Linked DNA regions of Canis lupus familiaris. The protein of the gene in region 1 purifies or fractionates together with the protein of each later gene. This does not show direct contact. Links are inferred from orthologs where the notes say so. Each region holds a gene or a part of one and is shown in the gene's direction. Other genes may lie near its edges.

What was found.
Region 2: the proteins of MPHOSPH6 (region 1) and EXOSC4 purify together in Homo sapiens (affinity purification with mass spectrometry; 7 studies listed by BioGRID and IntAct, with this or other methods). This does not show direct contact. The link is inferred for Canis lupus familiaris from reciprocal best matches to the Homo sapiens genes MPHOSPH6 and EXOSC4.
Region 3: the proteins of MPHOSPH6 (region 1) and EXOSC8 purify together in Homo sapiens (affinity purification with mass spectrometry; 4 studies listed by BioGRID and IntAct, counting the BioPlex papers as one, with this or other methods). This does not show direct contact. The link is inferred for Canis lupus familiaris from reciprocal best matches to the Homo sapiens genes MPHOSPH6 and EXOSC8.
Region 4: the proteins of MPHOSPH6 (region 1) and DIS3L purify together in Homo sapiens (affinity purification with mass spectrometry; 3 studies listed by BioGRID and IntAct, with this or other methods). This does not show direct contact. The link is inferred for Canis lupus familiaris from reciprocal best matches to the Homo sapiens genes MPHOSPH6 and DIS3L.
Region 5: the proteins of MPHOSPH6 (region 1) and EXOSC1 purify together in Homo sapiens (affinity purification with mass spectrometry; 5 studies listed by BioGRID and IntAct, counting the BioPlex papers as one, with this or other methods). This does not show direct contact. The link is inferred for Canis lupus familiaris from reciprocal best matches to the Homo sapiens genes MPHOSPH6 and EXOSC1.
Region 6: the proteins of MPHOSPH6 (region 1) and EXOSC6 purify together in Homo sapiens (affinity purification with mass spectrometry; 3 studies listed by BioGRID and IntAct, with this or other methods). This does not show direct contact. The link is inferred for Canis lupus familiaris from reciprocal best matches to the Homo sapiens genes MPHOSPH6 and EXOSC6.
Region 7: the proteins of MPHOSPH6 (region 1) and C1D purify together in Homo sapiens (co-immunoprecipitation; 3 studies listed by BioGRID and IntAct, counting the BioPlex papers as one, with this or other methods). This does not show direct contact. The link is inferred for Canis lupus familiaris from reciprocal best matches to the Homo sapiens genes MPHOSPH6 and C1D.

The regions. Positions count from the first base shown.
Region 1 is NC_049226.1:70,386,672-70,390,984, forward strand, and holds the start of MPHOSPH6 (M-phase phosphoprotein 6), read left to right. Parts: upstream 1-1,464; 5' UTR 1,465-1,545; coding exon 1,546-1,596; intron 1,597-1,976; exon of another isoform or gene 1,977-2,124; intron 2,125-4,313. UniProt on the Homo sapiens protein: RNA-binding protein that associates with the RNA exosome complex. Involved in the 3'-processing of the 7S pre-RNA to the mature 5.8S rRNA and play a role in recruiting the RNA exosome complex to pre-rRNA; this function may include C1D.
Region 2 is NC_049234.1:38,326,269-38,330,085, forward strand, and holds EXOSC4 (exosome complex component RRP41), read left to right. Parts: upstream 1-1,196; 5' UTR 1,197-1,419; coding exon 1,420-1,590; intron 1,591-1,650; exon of another isoform or gene 1,651-1,838; coding exon of another isoform or gene 1,839-1,901; exon of another isoform or gene 1,902-2,280; intron 2,281-2,452; coding exon 2,453-2,659; intron 2,660-2,772; coding exon 2,773-3,132; 3' UTR 3,133-3,174; downstream 3,175-3,817. UniProt on the Homo sapiens protein: Non-catalytic component of the RNA exosome complex which has 3'->5' exoribonuclease activity and participates in a multitude of cellular RNA processing and degradation events.
Region 3 is NC_049246.1:3,769,835-3,774,283, reverse strand, and holds the start of EXOSC8 (exosome complex component RRP43), read left to right. Parts: upstream 1-1,626; coding exon 1,627-1,652; intron 1,653-2,684; exon of another isoform or gene 2,685-3,208; intron 3,209-3,346; coding exon of another isoform or gene 3,347-3,419; exon of another isoform or gene 3,420-3,487; intron 3,488-4,020; exon of another isoform or gene 4,021-4,449. Other genes in the region: ALG5 (dolichyl-phosphate beta-glucosyltransferase), read right to left, coding at 1-29, 1,039-1,085, 1,471-1,642, 3,347-3,412. UniProt on the Homo sapiens protein: Non-catalytic component of the RNA exosome complex which has 3'->5' exoribonuclease activity and participates in a multitude of cellular RNA processing and degradation events.
Region 4 is NC_049251.1:31,052,670-31,056,325, forward strand, and holds part of DIS3L (DIS3-like exonuclease 1), read left to right. Parts: intron 1-659; coding exon 660-836; intron 837-2,154; coding exon 2,155-2,233; intron 2,234-3,334; coding exon 3,335-3,514; intron 3,515-3,656. UniProt on the Homo sapiens protein: Catalytic component of the RNA exosome complex which has 3'->5' exoribonuclease activity and participates in a multitude of cellular RNA processing and degradation events.
Region 5 is NC_049249.1:10,913,041-10,916,696, reverse strand, and holds the end of EXOSC1 (exosome complex component CSL4), read left to right. Parts: intron 1-394; coding exon 395-445; intron 446-574; coding exon 575-659; intron 660-968; coding exon 969-1,075; 3' UTR 1,076-3,413; downstream 3,414-3,656. UniProt on the Homo sapiens protein: Non-catalytic component of the RNA exosome complex which has 3'->5' exoribonuclease activity and participates in a multitude of cellular RNA processing and degradation events.
Region 6 is NC_049226.1:76,859,536-76,862,733, reverse strand, and holds EXOSC6 (exosome complex component MTR3), read left to right. Parts: upstream 1-1,375; coding exon 1,376-2,194; 3' UTR 2,195-2,688; downstream 2,689-3,198. UniProt on the Homo sapiens protein: Non-catalytic component of the RNA exosome complex which has 3'->5' exoribonuclease activity and participates in a multitude of cellular RNA processing and degradation events.
Region 7 is NC_049231.1:68,473,371-68,477,650, reverse strand, and holds the start of C1D (nuclear nucleic acid-binding protein C1D), read left to right. Parts: upstream 1-1,468; 5' UTR 1,469-1,564; intron 1,565-1,733; exon of another isoform or gene 1,734-1,875; intron 1,876-4,280. UniProt on the Homo sapiens protein: Plays a role in the recruitment of the RNA exosome complex to pre-rRNA to mediate the 3'-5' end processing of the 5.8S rRNA; this function may include MPHOSPH6.

The DNA.
Region 1 (4,313 bases):
TTATAAAGGGGATAGACAGGCAGAAGGGCATTGTACTCAGATCAAAGGGTTCAAATGCACCTCAAAGAGCTTGCACACACCTGACAGCTAACCTTTAATTGGATCTTAGGGTACCGCCTCAAGAAGGGGAGAAATTGCGTTATCGCTAACAGATTCATGGGAGGCCAAAACAAGCCTCTCTTCATCCCTGCATGGAGCCTGCTTCTCCCTCTGCCTGTGTCTCTGCCTCTCTCTCTTTCATGAATAAATAAAATCTAAAAAAAAAGAAAAAGAAAAAGAAGGGAAAGGGAAAGAGAAAGGAAAAGGGAAAGGAAAGAAAGCTGTGTGGGACAGGCAAGCCGCTGGCACCGCCCGCCGGCCGGGTGCTTTCCGGGGAACGGTGTGGACCTCACCGTCCGGGGGGGCCGTGCGGCCCTGAAGCAAGAGCTGGGTTCTTGTCTCCCGGAGCAGAAGAATGAGTCTCACGGACAAGAGAGAGTAAAAGCAGTGGAAGTTTATTAAGCAAGGATGCAGAGAAACTCTCAGGAGAGGGGTCCTCATGGGGTTGCCAACTGGGCCTCCACTGACAAGTCTTTTATTGAGAACTGACCAGGGAGATTGTGGCCTTATCCTCCCTGAGACGTCCTGGTTTAAGTCTGCTGATAACATCTTTAATGACTTCCTTTTGGGTCTGGTTATTCTTTACCGGTCACAGGTGTGTGTGTGTGTGTGTGTGTGTTTTCCACCCATATCCGGGGGCAGGGTGGTCTGGTCTGTGCCCGTAGGTCTGGTTTCCTTACATCTCAGCATTCTGGGGACTTTGTGAGCCTGCCTCCGCGGCCCCCTCTCCATCTCTCCCTACCTAGCCCCGCCAGTCCCTCCCTCACTCATCCCCAGCCCTTGGCACAGGTGGCTGCCGGGCCTCGCACCTGCGAGTTGGGTTTGGGCTGTCTCACGGGACGCTCATCCAGGCTCAGGGACCTACCTGCACAGCTGCAAACGGTGCACAGTTTCCCAGACTGCCTGGGTCAGCACCCGCCCGCCTCCCCTCCCCCCACCGCTCCCGGGCCAGCCCGGCAGCCTCCCCACGCCTCAGTGACCTCAACGCAGGAGGGGCTGTGGCGCTGACCGTGGTGCGCGGCCCGGGAAGCCCGCCGTCCGCGACGCAGACGCGCCACAGCCGCGGCGTGGCCAGGACGGGCGGCGAGCGTCTCACCAGCTCCCACCGCCTCGGTGACGCGCGGCGACACTCACCACGGCGCTCTCGGGGCGCAAAATTCGGGCCTCCTCCGACTGAGGCCTCTGTAGACGTTTGCCTCCTGCGTCCAGTCGCCCTCGCCCCTGGCGGACAGCCGCGTCCTCACCCGCAGCTCCTCGAGGAGGACAGCGCCTCCCGGGACGCGCCCAGGCGAGGGCGAAGCCACGCGGTGCGACGACGCCAGCTGCGGGAGACGCCGCCGCCGGGACGCACGCGGCAGTGCGCGTGCGCGGGCGTGCGTGTGCGTGTGCGCGTGCGCGTGCGCGGCGGGGGCTGGGGGTGGAGCGCGGCCCCGAGCAGGCGCCAACATGGCGGCCGAGCGCAAGACGAAACTGTCCAAGAACCTGCTGCGCATGAAGGTGCGGGGACGGCGGGGAGGCGCGCTGGGCGACGGGGGTACCTGAGCTTCCACACCTGGCCGGGGCCGGGGCTGCAGACGCGCGGGGGCACCGGGGCGGCCGCGGAGGGCCTCCAGCTCGGACATTCATTCATTCACTTAGCGCTTGGTCTGGTTCGGGCCCTGGGAACGGGATTCTGAGTCCGGCGGGTTCGCTCTTAAAGCCCGCGGCGGGATAGGAGAGCGGCGGCAGCGGGTAGGATGCCGCGGCGCTGAGCGGTGCCCGGAGCGCCGGGAGCTTACTTGGCTTCCGCGGGAGAGGCCCTTGGGTGGGGGGTGGGGGGTGGGGGGGGGAGGGGAGGAGGAGAGAGGGAGGGCAGGTGGGAGGCGGGGCGCAGGGCCGCGGAGACCCAGGGAAAACCGGGTGCACGGCTCTGGGACGCAAACCTCGGGAAAGCCGCTGGGATTCCCAAGAACTAAAGATCAGCCGTTGTGTCTGGAAGGCAAGTAGCAAGAAGTGGGCCTGAACCAGCAGCCAGTGGCCACATAGGTGAGCAGTTTTAGGCCAGAGGAAGAATTATTATTATTATTTTTTTCTCTATGTGAACACGGAGAAGCTATTGAGCATCTTAGCTGTGCTTACTTTTCAAAGTTCCCTTAGCTGCCCTATGGAGAATGCCCTGGTGGGGGAAAAAAAACAAAAACGAGCTAGAAGTTTTGATCTGGTCGCAATGGCAATGGGAACAGAATTAGAACAGTTGAGGTGAATATCTTCGACTTTCAGCAAAATTGATTATTTAAATTCGAAATTGAATCCATTTTTTTTTTTAAGATTTTATTTATTCATGAGACACAGAGAGAGAAAGAGAAGCAGGATCCCTGCAGGGAGCCGGATGCGGGACTCGGTCCCAGGACCCCTGGAATCCTGACCTGAGCCAAAGGCAAGAAGCTCAACCGCTGAACCCCCCCCAGGCGCCCCAAAATTGAACTCATTTAACAAATAATTTCAAAGTGGAAAAACAAAAAGGCAAGGGCACGTAAAAGGAATATAGGATTAAAACAGGGGAAACAACCAGGCCTTAAAAGCTTGAATAATAATAGTAAACATTTATAGTTTCTGCTATGTGCCAGACAGCTGTTCTACGTGCTTTGCCTATAGCCGCCCGTAGAATCCATGTAGTGACTCTGCGAGGTAGATGCAGTTATTACTGCTCTCCTACAGCTGAAGCCCCGAAAGAGAAGTAGCTAACTTGCCTGAAGTTACACAGCTAACAAGTTGTATAGACAGAACCAAACTCAGGCAGTCTTGCTCCAAAGCCCCTGCTCTTAACTGCTTGTCGCTGTCAGCACAGTGTAAGATGTCGTGTTTAGAGAATAATTTCCAGAAAAAAAAGGAAGCAAGGCATAAATAATGTTTTGAAAGATTGGAGAGTACATGTTGCATGTGCCAGATTTGGAGTTCAGCGAGGGTGTAACTAGGGATGAATAGGGTGAGTGAGGGTGGAGGGTAAATCATAATTTATAGTTTCTAAAGTTCTTTTTTCCTACATATTAATAGCAAAATTTGCATTTTTACCCCACAGAGGCTTCTTCTGACTCTGAGTTTGCAATCCGAGAGGTAGAGTGGATTGGCAAAGCAGGCACATCAACTGAAGATGTCCTGAGTGATTACACCTCTGACCAAAGAGCTGACTCAAGAGTTAGAAAGGAAGAAAATACCATAAAAAAAGTATCAACTCCTACCCCAGTGGTTGGAGAAGACTCAACAGGACTTGGAAGCAAAGGAGAGGGGGGGACTATGACACAGATTTTCTAGTTGGGTCAGCAGCTTCAGTTATAATAAAGAACTTATTGGTAGGATAGCAAGAGATACCATACATACAGATAGAGTGGAGTGTCCCATGAGAATGAATGGAACAGCTGCATTAGGTTGCTGTATCCAGTGTAACTGTTCAGCCAGAGTTCAGTGTAGAGCAAGAATGAAGAGAGTAGAGGATTTAATACTAATACATTTGTTTTGAAGTGTACCTGAAATCCTCCGACTTGGTCACCTGTTAGGGACTGGAAGGTGATCCTGATGGGAGTAGAAAGTGAAAGATATAGGTGGTATTCCTGTCAGCATGATGAAATGATTGTAAAGAGGGCGCTTATTTGTGATGTTAGCTCCTTTGGGCTCTTAAGATAGGAGTTGGTAAACTTTTTCTCTAAGAGGACAGATAATAAATACTTCAGGCTTGTGGGCCAGTTAGTATTGTACCTACTCACCCCTGCCATTGTAGCTCAGAACCAAATGAACAGATCTTTGTTCCAATAAAACTTTATTTACAAGAATTGTTATCTAGCCCAGAATTGTAATTTGTGATGCCTGCTGTAGGCTCTCACTTGTGAGTAAAGTCAAATCACTAAGCTTTTTTTTTTTTTTTTTTTAAGATTTTATTTATTTATTCATGAGACACACACAGAGAGGCAGAGACATAGGCAGAGGGAGAAGCAGGCTCCCTGTGGGGAGCCGGATGTGGGACTCAATCCCAGAACCCCGGGATCACAACCTCCAAAGGCAGATGCTTAACCACTGAGCCACCCAGGTGCCCCCAAAGCATCTGAGTTTAAAGAGAACCATCCAAGAAAGAGAGTCTGGGAAAATAAGTCTGGAGTTACATTCAGAGAACCTTTATTGAACTCTTCTTGTATACCAGCTACAGCCCAAGTACTAGTAATAAAAAATGAATAAGAGACATG
Region 2 (3,817 bases), on another chromosome or scaffold:
GTCACAGAGAGAGAGAGAGAGAGGCAGAGACACAGGCAGAGAGAGAAGCAGGCTCCATGCACTGGGAGCCCGACGTGGGATTCGATCCCGGGTCTCCAGGATCGCGCCCTGAGCCAAAGGCAGGCGCCAAACCGCTGCGCCACCCAGGGATCCCGATTCACCCGTTTTATTGCACAGTGGGAGCTGGCGGGAAAGGGGGGGCACACAGCCTGTGCACATCCCCAGGCCCCGGGCGGCACCTCCCCGACGCTCAGCCCTTTGGCTCCGCTTCCCACATTCGCCCTTGAAGCCCGGGCTCAGCAGAGCGGCCAAATAAGGCAGCTGGTGCGGGGCATGAGCATCCTGTCCGGGCGGACCGGGACGGGGAAGGGGATGGAGACTGGGATGGGGACGGGGACAGGACGTAGACGGGGTGGGGGGGGACGGGGACGGGGACGGGTCGGGGGGAGGGGAGCGACAGGGACGGGGACGGAGGGGCGGGGGACGTGGACCGGAACGAGGACGGGGACCGAGTGGGGGTAGGGGGACGACGGGGACCGGGACGAGGACGGGGACGGGGACGGGGAGGCGGGCGGGGGGGGGGGTTTGGTCGGGGGCGGTTCCACGGCGCTGGGCCGCCAGGAGGTGTCGGAACACGAGTCAGGACGGGGTAGGACGCCCGCGACGGCCACTCCTCGGAATCCCGCGGGGTTCTAGCCCGGCCCCGCGCGCCCTCGCCCCCGCACCCGGGCAGCAGCGGGGGAGCATCTGGGCGCGTCCACTCCGCGGGCGCCGAGCGGCCAACCGGAAACTAGTGGGCGTTCCCCAGGGTTATTGGGGCAGATTTCTCAAGGTCTTTTTTGAGTGAAAACCATTAAAGTGTATAAAATGCTCTCATTAAAATAACCGGAGTTCCCAATGCCACGCGGCTGTACAACCGCGTGTGCTCCCGATCCGTCTGCGGTTAGCGTGAGCGGAGAAGAGCAGACGGGAGCACTAGAGGGTGCGGGGGGAGGGATGGGGGGCGCGCGGGGCGCTGAGTAGGGCGTCAGGGGGCGCGGGCAGCGCAGGCGGGGGAGGGGCAGGGGGCGGGGCGGGACGCAGGCCGGAGCCCGCCCCCCCCCCCCCCCCCGAGACCCGGCGCAGGCGCGTGCGGCGTGACCCCGGGAGGCCCGGGGGCGTCAGAACCGCCCTGCGACAAGCCCGAGGGGGCGCGGCCGGCGAGTCTCCCCGCATCCGGTCTCCGCCTCTGGCAGCCGTGGGACAGCTCCCCAAACGGCCGCGGGCGCCGCCTGCCCCCGGGGAAACCGTAGTTCCCCGGGCCGGAAGTGGGTGTCGGACCGCCGGAAGCCGTAGGCCCCCAGAAAGCCGGAAGTGGGGTCGGAGCCGTCGGGAAGTGTAGTTTCGCGGGAGTCGCAAGCGCGGCCAGCCGCCGGAGACATGGCGGGCCTGGAGCTCCTGTCGGACCAGGGCTACCGGGTGGACGGACGGCGCGCCGGGGAGCTGCGCAAGATCCAGGCGCGGATGGGCGTGTTCGCGCAGGCCGACGGCTCGGCCTACATCGAGCAAGGCAACACCAAGGCGCTGGCGGTGGTCTACGGGCCGCACGAGGCGAGTGGGCGCGCGCGGGCGGGGCGGGCGGGGCTTGGGTTCCCCGGCGCTGGGGGTACCTGACCTCGTCCTCCCGGGGACGCCTTCCCGACCGCCTTCCTCTCCTGGGGAGCCCCTCCCCTGCCTTTCCGAAGCCCGTGGGCTCCGCGTTCGACTTCTCGGGAGCGGAGCGTCAACTCCATGAGCGGAGGGACTGTAGCTAAACCCACCTGCTGCTACTGCCTGGCGTCCACGCCGGAGCGGGGAGGATGGCTGGGGCACGTAGCGGGGCGCGTTCGCAGCGGCGGAGATGGGGAGCAACTCGGAACGAGGTTTGGGGGGCTCTAGGGAGGCAGGAACCCGCCGCGCTGTAGGCCAGGGACACGACTTAGGATTTCACGGGTGATGGGGAAGCTTTAGGAGGCGTCAGGACATTGACGCAGCGAAAGTGTATAGGAGATGACATCAACCGGGATATTTTTTTTTAAGCTTTTATTTATTTACTCATGATAGAGAGAAGCAGAAACACAGGCAGAGGGAGAAGCAGGCTCCCTGCAGGACCTCGGGGTCACACCCTGAGCCAAAGGCAGACACGCTCAACTGCTGAGCCACCCTGGCATCCCGAGCCTGGATATTTGTGAACACACCTGCTCTGGCCACGGATGGAGAATGGGTTAGCAGGGGACGAGGCAGGGATGGAAACAAGGAGGCCTGTTAAGAGAAGTAATATCAGACATGATGACTTGGAGACTGGCCAACTGGCCCTCCGATGGAGGTCCTCCTGCTTGCTTATGGAGATGCCGGAAGTAGAGGGAGGGTGACGGGAAGGCGTAGTGTCAGCTGTGGAGGGGTGAGCCTGACTCATGTGTCCTTCCTCCCCCAGATCCGGGGCTCCCGGGCTCGAGCCCTGCCAGACAGGGCCCTGGTGAACTGTCAGTATAGCTCTGCGACCTTCAGCACAGGCGAACGCAAGCGACGACCGCATGGGGACCGAAAGTCTTGCGAGATGGGCCTGCACCTACGTCAGACATTTGAGGCAGCCATCCTAACACAGCTGCACCCACGTTCCCAGATAGATATATATGTGCAGGTGAGCAAGCAGCAGCCATCAACCCAGGAAGGGAGGGGGAAGGAAGGGGAAGCAAGGATGGGAGTCGGGGGACAAGAGCCTAATGGACCGATGCCACTGGGCGGTACTTGCAGGTGCTGCAGGCAGATGGTGGGACCTACGCAGCTTGTGTGAATGCAGCCACGCTGGCAGTGCTGGATGCGGGAATACCCATGCGGGACTTTGTGTGTGCCTGCTCAGCTGGCTTTGTGGACAACACAGCCCTGGCGGACCTCAGCCATGTGGAAGAGGCAGCTGGTGGCCCCCAGCTGGCCCTGGCCTTGCTGCCGGCCTCAGGCCAGATTGCACTGCTTGAAATGGATGCTCGGCTACATGAGGACCACCTGGAACAGGTGCTAGAGGCGGCTGCCCGGGCTGCCCGTGATGTGCACACTGTGCTGGACCGTGTGGTTCGGCAGCATGTACGCGAGGCCTCTATTTTGCTGGGGGACTGAGCATCTGGCCCCCCATGCCCAGAATAAAACTCACATACAATCTGCTATACTTTAATTTCCCCACAGCACTTGCACACCCTCAGATCCTGGCCTGGTGCTTGCTCTGGGAGGTGACTAGGAACCGTCCCCATCCCCCGCACATGACATACCTTTTCCAGCTTCAAGACCCAAACCCTGAAGAGGAAGGTCGGGGAGCCTGTCTGCGGATGAACAGCCATCGTGCTAGGAAAGGTTCAGGCAGCTGAGCAGTGAGGCAGGGCCTGGCATAACGAGCCAAGCTGTGAGACGAAGGCAGTTCTCAGACCAGCACATCCACAGCCCACATCCTCTGGACTATGGCTTGGACTGCATGGCCCCCTCCACCCTGGGAGCCCTTTGGGCCTCCCTAGCCTTAGGCTCGGAAAGCACAACAAATGTTCTCCCCTGGGGTGGTGCGGAGGGGTGGGGAGTCTTCACACATATCTGCGGCGCTGCCTGAGCCCTCACCCGGGCACCTCCTGATCTGAATAGGATTCCCCACTTTCTAGTCCACATACCCCAGGTCTTGAGACCCGTTCTGGCCGAGAGTAGCCTGTGCACCTTCCTCCCTGTGGTCATCTGACCCCGGTTCCCTCGGCGCTGGGCTCCCGCTGAGCTCCCTTGTGCGCTCACTGCCGGTCTGACCTCCGTAGAAATGAGCCTGCCG
Region 3 (4,449 bases), on another chromosome or scaffold:
ACCTCATAAGTGAACGTAGGATCTTGCTTCTGCAAGAAACAAAAATAAAACACCACAATTTGGCATAAGTGGCATCAAGAATTCTGATAAAATTGTAAGGAGTTTAAATAACAATTGTTTTAGTGTGATGCATATTAACATGAATATAAATAAGTATGCAAACCACATAAAATAAAAAGGCCAACAACTAAAAGGAGGAGAGTGGTGGGACAGGAGGAGAGGGCAAACACCGACTCTTGCTCCCCCCTTGACTGCCTACCCACACCGAATCTGTGGAGTAGCCAGGTGCTTGTGGTGCTGAGCACTTATGAGAGAGGATACAAATATGTATGAGAAAAAAAAGCCCATGAGGTTAGAATGTGCAATTCTAATCTGGCCACACTATTTCTAACTTATGATATTGGATGAGTTAGAGTTTTAGCCTGTTTTCTCATTTAAAAACCCCCGCCAGACCAAAAAAAAAAAAAAAAAAAAAAAAAAACGGACCAGCCACAAAGCTCATTTTGTTTCCTTAAACTCTCCAAGAAGATTCCAGCAGCAGCTGATGATACAAAACAAGGACACATACTATTTTTCTTCTATTTATGCAGGGAAAGTAGAGAAAATAAATGAGCGGAACTCCTCTGAATAATAAAGAAAAACAATTTCACTCTAAGTCTTTTTCAAATAAATGTTTTAAAAAGTCACTAAAGTAAAAACAGCATCGTGTTGCCACACAGTCTGCAGACATACTTAATTTTAAATATATCATCAGGCAAGAGCATACAAAGTGGTTGGGAGGGTACATAAGAAATTTCTGCTTTCCGTTTGTTCTGGGTTCACCCACCTGCGTGCGTCTGGAGGTAGCGTGTCATGTGCTGGGCTTGCATGCTAACCCGTGATGGAAGGGGACAAGCTGAGCACAGGAGGCCCTGGTGACCTCGACGGCTTGGGCATGGCTGGCACTGCCTCTCTCAACAGATCTAGCCTGGGATCTCTAAATTGGTGATTTAGTCTAGTTTTAACTAGGGACATCATATTGAAAGAGAAATATGGTACCTGTCTCTTTTCCAGATAGCCCAAAGCTTCATCCATCATTACAGGCACTTAAAGAAAAAAAAATACATCTCTGAAAAATTGTTTTCGAAAATGATTTGCCAAGCCCCCACTCAGTTTACATATGGAAAAAGTCTGAATAGTCTAACAGAGCCCTCTCGGACCTCTTCCAGTGGCCCTTCCCAACTAGAAGGCCTGTTTTCTGTCCACAACTAGCTTAATGTCTCTCTAGAACACTTCAGTCCTATGACTTCATGATGCTGACCGTATTCTTTATAGCTGGCATTTGTTTCCACTCTCATGAACTACAACTACCAACTATGCACTCATCAGAGCCCACATCTACTAATGTTCTCACAAAGATAGTAAAGTTCATACTTTAAATTTCCTTTTCTTCCCAATGGCCCCATATCCCAAAAATGAAATTGGGCTTACACCGTTTTTCTTCATTGTATGAAGGCACAACAACGGAGAGCTGTTTGGTAGGCGAGTCCCATACGCTGGGCAAAGTTTCCTTCTGTCCTTTGGCATTTAAGAAGAACTTCTCCTCTTCATGTTGATGGAGATGTGGCATTTTTGTAGCAGTTATAAATGCAACAAAGGAAATCTAAAAGTAGGTATGTTAACAAGAAACTATATTATGTAAGATTACATCATTTATGTGATTTTTATTGTTGTTGTTAAATGTTCACTCTCAGTTTTTAGTCCATTAAGAATGGTCTGGAGGTGACACCAAATTCAAATCCCTTACTTATGAACTAATAATTGTCCTTCTTCCATTGGTAGGAACTAATGCCTTAGGAGCTGTGTCTTCCCACCTGTCATCCCTAGGCCTCTGTCATCCCAGATTTAATAGGGAATAGTCACCAGAGAAGTGCAATCCATTTTAAGATGCCCTGAATCTCCAACCCCTGGCTAATGATGACAACATTCATTTAGCATTGTTTTAAAGATCGCACAACATAAAACATTGAATACAATACCCCCAAATTATAAGTCCTCTATAAATGTTAGCTTTTTAAAAAATTATTTTATTTTCATTTATTCATGAGACAAAGAGAAAGGCAGAGAGACATAAGCAGAGGGAGAAGCTGCCTCCCTGCGGGAAGCCCAATGTGGGACTCGATCCCAGGACCCCGAGATCACGACCTGAGCCCAAGACAGATGCTCAACTGCTGAACCACCCAGGTGCCCTAAATAGTAGCTCTTATAATCACAAGCTGGTAGGATCAAATACTTCCAGTTCATCCTCAAAATGCACCCATTTAATTCTATAAAACAGATAGATCAAATAAACAGAGTCAATTTAGGATTCTGTCAAAACTCTGCCCCCACCAAAAACCTGAGAAAACCTTGAAATCTCCATCTACCCCTAACGGAGAGAGAGGACTCCTTTCTGACCCCGACACAAATCACCGAAGAAGTCAGGACACGTTGCTTTTTCTCTATAAGTTATTTCTAAACTGTGAAGTGTGCAAACCCGGCAAGGCGGAAGAACGGCCTTCCCAGCAGTGCTGTCAGGGGGGCTAATCTGGGTGTCAAGGAAGCTGGAACCTCTCCACGTACTAACTGGATGGCAGGCTCGTTCCAAATTATAAGGGAGAAAGCTCACTTGGCAAACCATTACTAATGAATCAGCAAGTGCTTACAATGTTTGTTTCCAGAGTGATGGCAAAGAAAATCCGAGTCTCAATTCTACTGTGCCCTCCTTTAGAGGCAGCGAATTTAGGGTGTTTAATCCCGGGTCATAGGGACTGCCAGACAACGGTAACAGCAGGCCTGCGTGCCTCGGCCTTACTGTGTCCCTCCTGGGTCTTCTTGATCCACTGATTCACCCCAATCTCTAGCAGATGGCTCTCGTCAAAGCTGTCACCACCTTCTAGTTGCTTCCCCGCATCAGGAGGGTCAGTCCAGGGAGCGCAAACCTCCTGGGGGGGCTCGAGACCTTCCCGGGTGCAGCCGGAACTGCACAGGCTGCAGATGCAGGAGGAAGGGGTGGAGAGGTCGGGACTGACAGGGCAGAGGTCGGGGGCGGCGGGGCCGGTGGAGGCTGACGGGGGCGCACGTCCCCCGGGGAACCAACGTTACAAGGGCCTGGCCGCAGAGGGAGGTAACGCTCCAAAATAAAGACAAAGAAGGGAAGAAAGGGGCTGTGAAGTTCTAGGAGAGGAAATCCTGGTCAAGTTTCGGGGGAGAGCGTGGGGGGAAAGGGACGCGTCGAAGCGTGCGGGGCAGAGGACAGGCTGCGTGGCGGCCGAGTCTCTGAGAGGACGGAGCCCAGGCCCGCGTCGGTCCCCAGCCCTCTGCTCACCAGCGTCAGGGCGGCGGCCGCCAGCGCCACGCCGAGCACAGCCAGCTGCAGCAGGAGCGCAATCATCGTCCATACCCGGCTGCCGCGCGCCCTCCCCAGCGCCTACACACACGCGGAAGCGCCGCCGCGCAGCTCCGCCTCCCGCCGGCAGAGCGGCCGAGCCCGCCCGCCGCCCGCCGCCCACAGCGCCCCTCGCGGCCAGGCGGCGCACACGCCGTCCCTGGCGGCCAGGCTCGCGCGCAGAGGCGGGCGCCGGGTTCCCCGCAGGGCTGACAGAACCCGCAGGCACACACAGGATTCCACCCAGTCGGAATTTCAGGTAGGCAGTGAGCGGCTTTTCGACAGCCGTCTTAAGACAGCACTCACGCACCGTGCAATCCACCCATTAAAAAGGTTTTATTGTATTCCATGAGTCTTTAAAAACGGAGACAGCATAAAATTTGCCATTTTAACCATTTTAAGGGTACGATACGGTGGTATTGGTTACATTCACAATTTCCTGCACCCATTATCTATTTCTAAAACATTCTTCGCTCCCAGCCGCCCCCGCCCCCCGCCCCGTAACAACTAATAACATGTACTATTTGGGGTATACTCATAGTGGGGAAAAATTAGCTTGTGTATCTGACATTAAAAATTAATTGGATGTTCTGTATTCCGTCTGGCAAACCTACCTAGGAGGGAGGTGACGGCTTTGAGAACAAACGCAGCCCACGGCACAAGCTGCTCCTCAGGAGCCCCTCCGGGGGCCCGCAGAGTGTACCGCGGGGCGATCACCAGCGCGCACAGAGTTTACGTGATTGCTCAGCAACTGGAGCTCCAGGGAGCCCTTCCCTTGGGGTGAGGCACGCCCAGGGCCCAGCCTGAGACAGAGGCGGGAAAGGACGCAGGAGCTCTGGAATAATGCCCCACACTTAATACTCACTCAATTCCTGGCAATAAGGTCGGCTTTCCCTTAAACTCCTGAGCTAGCATACCGTTTTTCTAAAGAGACACACCCGTCTCTTTCCCAATAGCAGATTCGACAAAACGCGTCCGAGGCCAAGAAGCCTAGAGGCGCGCTGGGCTCCTCCGAGCGGAGGCGGAACGAGAACCCCCTCGCG
Region 4 (3,656 bases), on another chromosome or scaffold:
CTCCTTGCCATTTTTACATGCTTATTTAAGTCTCTTATAAATTTCAAACATGTCAAGATGAAAAAAAAAAAACAAAAAACAAGATGAGAATTCACACATAAGAGCTTCTTTTCTCCATTCACCGCAGGCCATTGTCTGCAGTAATGAGATGCTTGTAAAGACAGGCAGGACAAGGATGTGTGCATGCGAGCAGAGAGAGGAGGAGATTTCAAAGTGCAAAGTAAACATTCCATGGTGGGAAGGGCCTTTCTAGGGTTCACTTGGCAAGGCTTCAGGGATTAGTGAGATGGTTAAAAAACTAGTCAGTAATGTGAGCCTCAGGGAGGTAATGCTCATTTAACAGCTCTTCAAAAATGTGTGCCAGCAATTCCCATCCAGGACTTTTTGTGAGACTACCAAAAGGAAGAGCCATTGTCTTCTTCTTTTTTTTTTTTTAAGATTTTATTTATTTATTTGATAGCACACAAGCAGGGAAAGTAGCAGAGAGACAGAGAAGCAGGCTCCCCACTGAGCAGAGAGACCGATAACGTGGGACTTGATCCCAAGACCCTGGCATCATGACCTGAGCCGAAGGCACACACTTAACTGACTGAGTCACCCAGGTGCCCCAAACCACTATCTTTCTGACCATGTTTCTCTAATGCCTTTATTAAATGCAGAATTACCTGGACAACTTTTGGCCTGACTTAAAGGCCGCCCATGAGCTTTGTGACTCCATCCTTCAGTCTCGACGGGAGAGAGAGAATGAGAGTCAGGAGAGCCACGGGAAGGAGTACGCAGAACATCTTCCCCTGGAAGTGTTAGAAGCTGGCATTAAATCGGGACGCTACATCCAGGTGAGGGTTGTCCTGAAGCATCAGCGTTGGGACCAGCCCGCATGTTTTCTTCTCTGCTTTATTGGCCATCACAGGCCTTTAATTTCAAAAGCTGTAAATAAAATGGGCATGAGTAAGCCAGGGCTGTCAGTGTTTCAGATGATTTGAGAGTCTTTCTTCCTACGTGCTTATTTAATTATGGACACCTTGCTGCCTGGTTTGATGCTACTCTGTAATCTTCTTAATCAGGTTATATATTGAGCACCACACAAGCCTTCTAATGCCTCCAGTCTCTGGGAAAGAGACTATATTTTGAATCAAGGTATTTGCCTTTGACAAAATTGTGAAATTGGTGAAATTTGGCTTCTTGGCTCCTTTGCAGTGTCTCTGCCTCTTTCTTTCTTTCTTTCTTTTCTTTCTTTTCTTTCTTTTCTTTCTTTCTTTCTTTTCTTTCTTTTCTTTCTTTTCTTTCTTTTCTTTCTTTTCTTTCTTTCTTTCTTTCTTTCTTCATGAGAGACACAAGAGAGAGAGATGCAGTGTCTCTGCCTCTTTCAAGGGGGTCATTTGTAGTCCTCCAGGACCCAGAACCCAGAAGCTGTTAAGCTGTGTTGATAAGGAATCAGATTATTTATCAGATTTCAACAGCTTTACGTGTGTGTCTGTGTGTGTACAGTTTTATCACATCAGTAGATTTGTGTATCCACCACCACTATTGAGATACAGCACTGTTCCATCATGAATTTTACATTTTGACAAGCAGCTCAGACAGTTTTCATGCAAGCCAAACATTGAGAATAGCATGCCAAAGTCCCTCCTAAAGTGTGGGTATTATTATTATTATTATTAATTTTATTTATTTATTATTTATTTAGAGAGCAAGGGAGTAGGGGTTAGGGAGGGATAGGTAGAGAGAGAGAACCTTAAGCAGGCTGCATACCCAGCATGAAATCAAGAGTCGGATATTTAACCAACTGAGCCACCTAGGTGCCCCTAAAGTATGGGCATCTTAAATGAGTATGCCTAGAGACTCTGATGCTTCCAACTCGGTAGTAAAGTTTACAGCATTCCTGGGAGGATATTTTGAGGAAAAAGATTTTTTGAGGACCACTCATCACTTCAGTAAAATATCCTTTATTGGTATAGCCAAGAATAGTTCAAAATGATGGTGTGTTCTCTGGAGAAAAGAGACCTTGGTGATGAGTATTTTTCCTAAAGGAAGGGATCACAGACCTTAAAAGAATATTTTGGGGTTATTTTCATATACTTTTTGAAAACTGTACCTTTGGAGGCAAAGTGGGCAGTAAAGAAATTTTTCTATTGATTTTTATTATGATTGTAGGGAATCCTGAATGTCAACAAACACAGGGCGCAGATAGAAGCTTTCGTTCGACTTCAAGGAGCCAGCTGCAAAGATTCAGGTTCAGTATAAGCCTTACGTAAACTTCTGTACTACATCTTTATTCTGATATTACACGGTGAAGAAAGCAAAGCTGACCCTGCCGTCATGTATGCCATGTCAGGTATCCCCACTCTGGGTGTGTGGGGTCACAGATTGGTGTTTTTTCCCCCTCGAAGTTTATAGTTTCTGATTTTATTGCAATCAGTTTTTAAAGATGAGAACAGCTACATTTTATTGAGTACCTGCTGTATACGCATCAGGTACCTTTCTAAGCACTTAACGTGGATACTATCATTATTTTGCACCTTTTATCCATGAAGATACACAAGGTTACACATGAGGAAACTGTAATACAGGGAAACAAAGTCACTTGCCCGAGCTCACACACCTGGTGAGTGGTGGGGCTAGATCTGCTGCTGAGGCAGTTTGGCTGTGATTTTAAGACACTGCCCTTTGTGGTCTTGCTGGAATAATTGTAAAAGTGATAAAAATGAAGAAGATGTGGAAGTAAGTTGTATCATAATAGAATATAGTTCTGAGGGCCTCGATGGCAGGGTGGAAAACACCCAGTGGCTCTCCGGCTGCTGCTCGTGAGCTGGCTGTGTCCGTGGTTCCTCGGCCTGCCGACCGCTCCCTGGCTGCGTGGCCTCCTGGAACGCTGTGGGCTCACATAGCCTCACGCAGGGGCCTATTACCTACCGTGAGAGACGGGTGAGGTAGGCCTTATAAAAGCACCTGACGAGGGATCCCTGGGTGGCGCAGCGGTTTGGCGCCTGCCTTTGGCCCAGGGCGCGATCCTGGAGACCCGGGATCGAATCCCACGTCGGGCTCCCGGTGCATGGAGCCTGCTTCTCCCTCTGCCTGTGTCTCTGCCTCTCTCTCTCTCTCTGTGACTATAATTAATAAATAAATAAATGAATAAATAAATGCATGCATGCACCTGACGTCATAGGACACGGTGACAGCGTTTCCTCATTCCTAACCTGTGGAATGAGGTTTGGCTTCACCTTTGAAGGGGGAGGAAGCTTTTATTTGCAGGGACGCTGATGAGACGTCAGATTCATGATGTGTGGCATCCCCCGTGGCTTTATGGGGTCTCTGTGTGCCCGCCCAAACACAGGTTTAGTCAGTGACATCCTCATCCACGGGATGAAGGCTCGAAACCGCTCCATTCACGGCGACGTGGTAGTCGTGGAACTGCTCCCTAAAAATGAATGGAAGGGAAGAACCGCCGCCCTGTGTGAGAATGACAGCGATGACAAGGCCTCGGGAGACCCCCCGAGTGAGCCCATGCCCACAGGTGAGCCTGCCAGCCGGCCTCCCAACTCACCAGTGCGCCCGTGGGACGTGCCCCAGCCCTCTCTGTGACGACCCAGAAATACTACGGCTCTCGGGGCTCGGTATCATTTCTTTCCTCCATTACTAGTTCCCTTTTTCTGTAG
Region 5 (3,656 bases), on another chromosome or scaffold:
GAATTCACCTCACTGTCCTTTTCCTTTCCTTAGGATTTTTTGTTTGCTCTATTGAGCAGAAGGGGACTACTTTATTCCTTGCCTTTGAAGCCAGGTGTCTATTCTTTGCTATTCCCTCAGATTTACTTTGTATTCTTTCAGAGCCAACTGTAGTAACTTTTATCTAAGATCCGTTACCAGGTTATTGAATTAAAAATTTTTCATTTAAAAAAATAAAAAATAAAAATCTTTCATTTATATGATGTAAAAGCAATAAAAGTTGTTGATTGGCTTCACTAACGATGACTTCCACCCTGTGGAGTTAAAAAGTACACTGGTTCTACCAGAGGGGCAAATAGTTTCATGTAGATTTGATTTAGAGCTTTCACTTAACATTCCTGTTCTTTCTTTACAGGTTGAGATTTATAAGAGTTTCCGCCCTGGTGACATTGTCTTGGCCAAAGTGGTATCCTTTATTCCAGCAGTCTTGTGGTCCTTTGTCAAAACAAGAAATAGAAGTAGAAAATAACTCAAGTGGCTATGGGAGGGAAGACTTATCACCCATTGTTTTCCTTCACCAGTATTGTGTGACTAGATCTCTCTGGGTGATGCACAATCGAACTACCTCCTGACCACTGCTGAGAATGAACTTGGGGTGGTGGTGGCCCACAGTGAATCGGGTGAGTAGGTCCATACATCCACATGCTTCTCTTTCCCTGGGAGCTACAGTTGGGATTAATTCACTGTTTTCTCTTGTTACCCTGGTTTTAAATCTAGAGCGCAATATGAGTGTCAATCACTTACTACTGAGATTAGAATGATTCTCCTTATATAACTGTAAGGGGGGAATTCACTGCATAAGGCTTTTTCTGTATGAGGTGAGGTTCACTAGGTAGTTTGATGAAACTTCAGGTCATAACCAGCTGAAAAGGGAAGGGTCTTAGTAAACATTTGGGGTCCCAGCTCCAACACTAGCTCTTCCCTTCCAGGTGTCCAGATGGTTCCCATTAGCTGGTGTGAGATGCAGTGCCCTAAGACCCACACTAAAGAATTCCGGAAAGTGGCCAGAGTACAGCCTGAATTCTTACAGACCTAAGAAGATTTACCCTACATTTTACCCCATGGAGAGGGGTAAGCCGTTTCTAAGAGTACATACATGTATGAACCCAACATCAAGATGCCATTGTCTTTATTCAAACACCTGTGGTTGGCTAACAACCATCTTTAGAAAAATCTGCCAGCAACTTATACTGTAGGTGGAACATTTTTCTTATGAACCTTTCAGTGGATTTCATTCTCGAGTGATGAATTTTTTTGGAGGCGCCAGCAGACAAACTGTATAATATTGGAAGTAGCCCGATCCTTCTGACAGTCTCACAGATACGTATTTTTGCTGTGACAAAGAAAACGTTTTTACTAAAAGGATTTTATGGCTTCTGTTGTCTTGAGTAGGGAAGGGAATCTAAAAAGCATCATGACATTTAAAGCTGGGGTTTGCCTGGTTGCACCCATTAACTTACATGTCAAGTGCTTGCTTTCTCTGGAAAAGCCTAATCTCCAATCTTTTTTATACTTTTTATGTTCACTTTCAAGCACTTCCACTTACTGAGTACTTTCTATGTGCCAGGCACTAGGTGAAGCACTTTATATACATCTCATTTAAACAGATTACAATTTAGTGAGAATTACATAACACATGGTGATTCAGGGTACATGCAAGTAGTTTGAAAGCAATTAGTTGAACGAACATAGTATTACTGATTTAGTGGGTACCCTAAGAAATGTTTAAATCTGAATTGAAAAGAGGGACAGAGCACTATCATGTGAGGTGACCAAGAAGGATCCGTGATGTGAAGCAAAAGGAACCGAAGAACTTAGATAAATGGAATGAAGGATATGCAAGGCAGACAGTGAAGCAAAGTATAGAAGCAAGAATGAATACACAAGTGTTCATTGAGGATGAGGATGAGGAAGGGATGAGATGAGGGTTAAGCATGGAGAAGCTGCAGAAGGAATGGAAGGAAAGAACTAGATGTCAGTTCTTGAGATGTTCTTCAAGGAGCCTGTATCTTTTATGTGTATTGACAGTGGTTACAGGTAAACTCTGGAGTGTACCTGCCTAGGTTCATATCCTCTAGCTGCTAGCCTTGAATAGGTTAGGTTGGGTTTTTTAGTTTTTGTTTTTTTTTAATAGAAAATTGGATTGGGATCCTTGTAGCTCCCCATGCAGTTTTAAGAAATAATAGAGATTCCTTAGACACTTTGCCCATTTTTTCCCAATGGTGACATTGTGCAAATTACAGTATACCTAAACAATCAGGATGTTGCCATTGATAGTAGTGCAAGTTAACTTTGTTTCTTGTAAGTCTGTTTCCTTGTCTGGAATAGTATGATCTTAGGGTTATTGTGAGGAAGAAATGCATAAGTTACAGTACATGCCAATATCGTTACATGTTACTGTTGTTATTATAGATCTGGTTGCCTTCTATCAAGTATGTTAAATTCCAGGCATTATGTTAAGCAGTCCCCTGATAGATGTTTTAAACTTTACAGATTTTCTTTGATAGACAGTGCTGCAGAGAAAACTCCTATACTGTATATACTTGTGCCTGCCTAGGATTCTGTGGCAAAAGATTCCTAGAAGTGGAATGCCGGGTCAAAGAATGTGTACATTTTAAATTCTGGTTATATTTTTCCCATGTTGCCTTGTAGAAAGATGCTACCACCTGATTCTCCCTACAGTGTTAGCCATTTTAACTTACTCTATCTCTGAACTTCCCAGTAACTCTGAAATGTACTGGTCATTTCTGTCTTTTACAGAGAGGTAAATTAAGGCTTAGAAAAATTAGCTAACTTGCTCTAAGTCACATAGACATCAAGCGGCATAGCATTATTCAAACCTAGGTTTGTCTTACTGTAAAACCCAAATTCTTTCTTTTGCACCATGGTGCCTCCTTTTTCCAAGTATTGACTAGAACCTTGGGCATGCAATTAGAGGCTCTCCAAATTGACAATGGCTCATTAATTATGAGTGCTTGTTGGGACATCATTCATTCAATAAATATACATTGAGCAACTACTATGCCCACCACTTTTCCAGGAAGTAGGAGTTAAAGCAGTGAACATGATAGAACCCTTTCCTTGTCGAGATTACATTCTACTGGGGAAAGACAGGTGATACGTAAATAAAAGTTATAATAAAGTGTCATAAAGAGCATTTGAAACAGGTGGATAATAGCCCTTTCTGATCTACTGCAGAGCAGGTTAGATTTTCTCCATTAACCATTGATACTAGTATTGCAAGTAAATTTATATGCCTGTCTCCCCTACTTGCCTGAGCTTTTAGGGCAGGATTCTGTCTTTGAATTTTCAGTACCTGGTATTGTGACTAAAATATAGCAAAAGCACAATAAAAAAATTTTTGAATGTTCTCATAGCTGACTGAACAATTGTGCCCAGTGATGTTTAGTGAGTATACATGCTAATCTACAACTGGTTCTAGAGACAAGGAGGATATTGTTTCTGTGCCTTGGAATAGTGATTCTCAGTCTGTTAGATGAACTTCAAAATTACCTACGAAGGTTTTTTTTCCCTCCCAGATAATTATGATGCACTACCCTAGCTAAGCAGTCTTGAAGAGATAGTGGTTGTTGGCCTTCTAGCGGTATTGGTAAATA
Region 6 (3,198 bases), about 6.5 Mb from region 1:
CTGGAACTCACGCACCTGGGAGCTAGCCTGTGACTCATTGCTCACGTTACATTTCTGCCCTGAGCCCTCCCTACATACCAGCACCATGTCTAAAACCACTACCCCAGGATTGCTATTTATCATGACAATGCTCGTGTCTGTAGATAAGAGTTCTTTTAGGCCTCTCTGCTGCAGAGAATAAAAGGACTATGTGCAATACTCAATGATGCTATGTGATCTCTTAACCCCCCACCTCTCATAGGAGCCCCCTGTGTAATAGCCTATGGCCCCAACTGGCTTCTGGTTGTGGTCCTCATCGAGTCCAGCTCAACTCCTGAACTTTGGGAATGGCCTCTGGATTACCTGAAGACATTGGTGAAGGTGGCCCATAGGATGGGGAGTTGAGTGGGTGAGATGGAGAGAGTCATTAGTCATTCAATAGAAGATGGGCCATGGGGTTACTGGAAGCACTTTATAGGAGAAGCTCTCCCATTCTTAGGCCTGTGTCCCTCTTCCTCTCCTTTTTGATGTTGAGCAGTCAGGTGTGAGATCAGAGGTGTTCTTAGGGTGCATTAGGTGACTACCCCTTTCCCTTTGACCCATCATTGCTGGTTCCCTGACCCAAAGATGGATAGGATCGATCGGGACCTGCCCTGGTCCCGAATCCCTTCACTCAAGTCTGAAGACAGCTGGGTTTGGAAACTGTTCGCTGGGGAGGTTAAAGGTTCTGCTTGTTTGTGCTAGCTCTGGCTGATTTCGTGTTCCCTGGGTACAACAGTTGGCAGTGGGGCCCAGGTTAACTAGTCCCGCTGACAAGGAAGGAGGCGAGCAGCAGCAGAGGCTACCTGCTCTGGTCACCAGCCTGGGGGTGAGGGCCCGTCCTCGCCGGGAGTGAGAAGCAGCAGGGGGACATGGTTCAGCAAGACGTGCCAGGTGAGGACTCCTAGGGGTACGGAGTGTACACAATCCAGTGCAGGAGAGAGAATGTTCCATTCAACAAGCGTTACTCCTGCCAGGGCACTGAGGAATGACCATGTCTTGGGCAAGACGGGAACACGTAGGAGATGGTCACACGTGTAAGTGCAAAATAATTTCAACCTTTACAAGTGAAAGGACGCAGATGTGCGCCCTGGGGTTGCGCTGGCCCGAGAGGCTAGCGTTCAGGCAGGCCGGCCCGGTCCCCCCGTCGGCCCACCCCCTCGGCCAGGGACCTCCCGGCGGCCCCGCGGCGGCCCCGCGGCTCGGCTGTGGTTCCTCCGGGACGGCAGGGGGCGGGGCGGCGCCGGCCGCCGCTATCCCGACAGCCCTCGCGCGGGCGCGCGGCTTTAAGCGGGCGGAAGCGCCGGCGCCGGGGCCGAGGGGACGGGCGGAAGCGGCTCGCACGCCAGGCGCCGCCATGCCCGGGGACCACCGCCGAATCCGCGGGCCCGAGGAGTCGCAGCCGCCGCAGCTGTACGCGGCCGACGAGGACGAGGCGCCCGCGGCCCGCGACCCGACGCGGCTGCGGCCCGTGTACGCGCGCGCCGGGCTCCTGAGCCAAGCCAAGGGCTCGGCCTACCTGGAGGCGGGCGGCACCAAGGTGCTGTGCGCCGTGTCCGGCCCGCGCCAGGCTGAGGGCAGCGAGCGCGGCGGCGGCCCGGCCGGAGCGGGCGGCGAGGCCCCGGCCGCGCTGCGCGGCCGCCTGCTCTGCGACTTCCGCCGCGCGCCCTTCGCCGGCCGCCGGCGCCGCGCGCCCCCGGGCGGCGGGGAGGAGCGCGAGCTGGCGCTGGCCCTGCAGGAGGCGCTCGAGCCGGCGGTGCGCCTGGGCCGCTACCCGCGCGCGCAGCTCGAGGTGTCGGCGCTGCTGCTCGAGGACGGCGGCTCGGCGCTGGCCGCCGCGCTCACGGCCGCCGCGCTCGCCCTGGCCGACGCGGGGGTCGAGATGTACGACCTGGTGGTGGGCTGCGGCCTGAGCCGCACGCCGGAACCCGCGCCCACCTGGCTGCTGGACCCCACGCGCCTCGAGGAGGAGCGCGCCGCCGCCGGCCTCACCGTGGCGCTCATGCCGGTGCTCAACCAGGTGGCCGGGCTGCTGGGCAGCGGGGAGGGCGGCCCGCCCGAGAGCTGGGCCGAGGCGGTGCGTCTGGGCCTGGAGGGCTGCCAGCGCCTCTACCCCGTGCTGCAGCAGTGCCTGGTGCGGGCGGCCCGTCGGAGGGGCGCCGCCGCGCCGTCCTGAGCCGGGAGCCCGAGCGACCACGGACGCCGAGGACCGAGCTGCCCCCGTCCCCCGAAGGACCCTTGCCGTCCGCTGCCAGACTGCGCGGCGCGGAGAACTCCGGGCGGGAGAGGATCCGACGGGGCGTGCACAGCGCCGGACGGCTGTGTTGGGACGGCTCTTGAGAGACTTCTGTTAAAGAAACGTTTCTACTTGAGCAGGTGCTTCCCAGCTACGACCCAGGTGAAGAAACTTGCGAATGCAGCTTGCCTCCCAGGTTGGGAAGGACTTCAGCTGGACTCATCTGGAGGACGGGACTTGGAACTGTTGTAAGGGATGGACCCTGTGCAGGCCAGCTAGTGACTCCCTTCTATAGACTTGGGCTGCTTTTGAGAGAATGGACAAGGGGGCTGTGCCTTCTCATTTACATCTGAGCTAAAACAAACTCCTTTATATCTGGAAAAGTCTATCGTGGTTCATCTCGGTAGTGAATTTAAAAGAACAAGGTTCTTTTGTGCCCTGTAGTCGACTCCTGGTGTCAAGGGGTTGGGGACAGCATTGTCTTAAATGTGTCCTGTTCCTTAGACCAACATAAGCAGAAAAGACTGGCTGAAACTAAAGGAGGTGCAGGAGTTGGTGTGGGGAAATGTGCTTTGAAGGAGGTGAAGGTGCCCCTAGAGTAGCAGAGTTGGCCATTGCCAAGGTGACAACAGTAGGGAAGGTTGTGTGGGCCCAGGAGCACTCTGGGTGTACTCTGTGGCCTCTGGTTTGGTGCTGGGCAAGACCACAGCTCAGGTTTGGGTAGGTGGAAGGGGTTTGGCTCTGGGTGGAAGCTAGAGGCCTCCCCCACTGCTGCTAAGAAGTAGGGGTCCAGGCTGCCTTTTTTTTTTTTTTTTTTTTAATTTAGAGGCATGCAAGGGGGTTGACAGTGGGGAAGAAGAGAGAAAATTCCACACAGACTCCATGTTGAGCGCAGAGCCTGATGCTGGGCTTGATCTCATGATCCTGAGATCATGACCTGAGCC
Region 7 (4,280 bases), on another chromosome or scaffold:
TCTCTCTGTGTCTCTATGAATAAATAAATAAAATCTTTAAAAAGAAAAAAACAGTTCAATCTGTAAACTAGCCACACTAAGAGATTAGCAGCATTAGCACAATTATAATATTTTTAAATTAAAAAAAAGATTTTATTTATTTAATTGACAGAGAGCAAGAGAGCAGAAGCACGAGGAGTAGCAGAGGGAGAGGGAGAAGCAGGTTCCCTCGCTGAGCAGGGAGCCCAATGCGGGGCTCGATCCCATAACCACGTGGGGCTCAATCCCACCGATGCAGGGCTCGATCCCATAGAGGCGGGGCTCGATCCCATCGATGCAGGGCTCGATGCCATAACCACATGGGGCTCAATCCCATCGATGTGGGGCTCAATCCCATCAATGCGGGCTCGATCCCATGACCATACGGGGCTTGATCCCATAACCGTGGGATCATGACCTGAGCCCAAGGCAGATGCTTAACCCCCTGAGCCACCCGAGCCACCCGAGCCACCCGGGCGCCCTTATAACAATATATTGTAATGAAAGCTATGTAAATACGGTCTCTCAAAATACCCTACTGGGCTGCGCTGGCCCTTCTGGTGGCGCCACGAAATGGCAAAATGCCCGGGCAATGAGATGACGTGGCCTGAACGGCGGTAGGCACCTGCCGGCCTACGAATTCATCACAAGAAAGCAGGTGCTTGCAGACCGCGGCTGACCCCGGGTGACACCTGCTGACCCCGGGTGCTGACACCTGCTGACCCCGGGTGCTGACACCTGCTGACCCCGGGTGCCAACGCGTGCTGACTCCGGGTGACACCTGCTGACCCCGGGTAACACCTGCTGACCCCGGGTGACCCCTGCTGACCCCGGGCGCTGACACCTGCTGACCCTGGGTGCCAACGCGTGCTGACTCCGGGTGACACCTGCTGACCCCGGGTGCAGACGCTTGCTGACCCTGGGTGACACCTGCTGACCCCGGGTGACCCCTGCTGACCCCGGTGCCGAGGCCGACGCCGAGGCCGAGGCAGGCGAAGGCGCCGAGCGAGAGGCGAGGACAGCAGGTGGCTGCCGGCGAGCAGCGCTTCCCGCCGCAGCCCCACTGCGCGTGTCGAAGCCCGAGTTTTCGCGCAGGGACACGGTAAGGAAGGACCGAGGGCGCCTGCCGCGCTCTGCCTCGTCTCGGGGTCCTCGCCTCGCCGCGCGGCCCGAGCGGGAGTCGGCGCGGAGCCGCGAGCCCTCCCGGCCCCGGAAGGCGGGCTGCGGCCCACGGAGACCCGGCCCCGACGCGGTGCAGGCGGAGGCCGCGGGGGCAAACCGCGCGCGAACGGGGCCCGGCGGCTCACGCGGCTTCCTGCTGCCCGGGCCCGCCCCGCCCCCGCTGACCCCGCTGACCCCGCAGCCCCCGCAGCCCCCGCCCGCCGCCCGCAGGGGCGCCCCTGAGCCGGCGCGGGGCGGGGCGAGCCGCCTGACGTCACCACGCGGCGCCGCCCGCCCCGCCCCCGCCGCCCGCGCCGCCGGCGCCTCTTTGACGTCACCGCCGCCCGACTGCTCTTCCCGGAGGCCGGCGCCGGAGGCCCGCGAGGTACGGCCGTTCGGAGCTGGGGCGGGAGTTTCTCTCGTGTTTCTGCACAAGTTCGCCCCCTCGGGGAGCCCCCGCGGCTTTCACACGCCGGCTGGCCGCCAGGAGCGCCCGCACCCCCCCCCCCCCCGCTCACCTGGGCCCCTCACCGGCGCCCCCTCCCCGGGCTCACCTGGGCCCCTCCCCACTCTCCATCCAGCCTGCAGGTGGTTTGCTGGTTTGTCTGCCGTTTCTCCCTGGTCAGCTCCTCGGGCACCTCGGCAGGGGGAGGAGCCCTGAAGTGACGTCACAGCTGTCAGGGCCCCAGGGCCAGAGCGAACGCCGCGCCCGTGACGTCCACGAGGTCACCTGGTTGATGTATTTTCACGCCTCCGGAGGTCGAGGTGCCTCGGCCGAGGTTCAGGTGCCTTGAACGCGCCTCTGTTGGCCGCGACCCCGTGTCTGCGGGACGCAGGTGTCTGCCCCGCCAGCGAGCTCTGGGCGGCCTGATCCTGTGTCGGGCCGGGAGTCCCTGTGTCCTGACGACGCCGGGTCCCAGGAGTCGGGCAGGCATCTCCTGCTGAGACTCGGGAAGCCGCTTGCGGCTGCTGTTTGGTTGAAAGATGGAATAACGGGCGTGCGGGCGGGGCTGCATCCCGGGGCCCCATCGCGGGGCGCCCATCGCGGGGGCTCCATCACCGGGGCTCCGTCACCGGACTCCATCCCGGGGCTGCATCCCGGGGCTCCATCCTGGGACGCCCATCCCGGGGCTCCATTCCGGGGCTCCATCGTGGGGCTCCCATCCCGGGGCTGCATCCCGGGGCGCCCATCCCGGGGCTCCATCCCAGGGGCTCCATCACCGGGGCTCCGTCACGGACTCCATCCCGGGGCTGCATCCCGGGGCTCCATCCTGGGACGCCCATCCCGGGGCTCCATCGTGGGGCTCCCATCCCGGGGCTGCATCCCGGGGCGCCCATCCCGGGGCTCCATCCCAGGGGCTCCATCACCGGGGCTCCGTCACCGGACTCCATCCCGGGGCTGCATCCCGGGGCTCCATTCTGGGACGCCCATCCCGGGGCTCCATCCCGGGGCCCCATCGCGAGGTTCCATCACGGGGGCTGCGTCCCGGGGCTCCATCCCAGGGGCTCCATCGCGGGGCGCCCATCGCGGGGGCTCCATCCCGGGGCTCCATCGCGGGGCTCCATCACCGGGGCTCTGTCACCGGACTCCATCCTGGGACTCCCATCGCAGGGGCTCCATACCGGGGCTCCATCCCGGGGCTCCATCGCGGGGCTCCCCCAAGGTGCCACGGGATGCTGTAGCGGCCTTCAGGTGCTGGCGCTGTCTGCGTCCCACTCAGAGGACGCTCTCAAGCGGTTCCTTACAGTTGTCTCAGCCACCGATTCCAAGCACTTGGGCCTTCCATATGTTTTTTTTTTTTTTTTCAATATGGGTTTATTTATTTATTTATTCATTCATTCATTCATTCATGATAGAGAGAGAGGCAGAGACACAGGCAGAGGGAGAAGCAGGCTCCATGCAGGGAGCGGGAGGTGGGAGGTGGGACTGGATCCCGGGACCCAGGGGTCACGCCCTGGGACAAAGGCAGGCGCCCAACTGCTGAGCCACCCAGGGATCCCCACAATATGGTTTTGAATGGTCTACATTGGATCAGGATATTTGATCCTTTTCACTCTAGTAAATTAGTAAACTGTTGCTACCTGCAAATGTACTGACTGGTAATTGAGCCAAGCACTGTTCTAAAAGCTTTACCAATATTATTCATTTCACTTTTACGATAGCCCTATATACTGTTATTATTTTAGAGATGAGACTATTGTAGTAAGCAAATTCCCCGGTTCTGGAAGGTAGTTTTGCCGCTTCATAACTGTAATTTTGAAAACGCTTTGAGGTAAACACTAGCATTAATAATAGAAGTACATTCATTGTGTAATTTGATGTAGTTATTCATCTCAATTTTGAACGACCTTTTGTGATTTAGATCTTCTGTTATTGGACTTTGGGATAAATTTGGCTTTTTTGGAGGTCAGCACCTTTAAAAGGAAAAAGTCAATCTTAGGGATTTTACTGTAAGTTTGAAGGAGAATTATAGGTGGCATCGACACGGACTGTCTGCTAAAGGAGCAACATTATTGATAGACTGTTGTGTGTACTTTTCACCATTATTTTCTAAGATAATGCAGTACAAAGAGGTCATTATGGTAATAGAAATCTAGTGCAGCATCTGCAGATGTCCCTCTAGTTCCAAAAAAATTATAAATTGCATTGTTTTTCTGGCTTAGTTCATAATCATATGTAACTCTACTTAGCATAGGAGTGGAAGTAGCCCTAGAATGTACATTATGGTATATTTTTGTTTTGGATCTATGTGGTGACTTCCTAATATCTTTAAGTACAGACTGATCTCATATTAAGATTCCCCAAGGTTTGTCCCCAGTTTGCTTTCTTTGGTTTTGGACAGGTAGCAAACAGTTACATGTACCTAATATGTGGGAAGACCTTACATTAGTCATGTGCAGATGCAAATGTCATGCAGAGTAAGTCTTGCCTTGAAGGAACAGCATAGAGGATAAGTAACCAGTGGAATGCTCTGGGCAGAGGGGTGTCAGGACCTGATTTAGCTTTTTAACAGTATCACTTTGGCTGCTATGTTAAGAATAGATTGTTGGAGAGTGTGGTAGGCAAAAGCCAAGAGACTAAATAGGAAGGTGTTGTAATA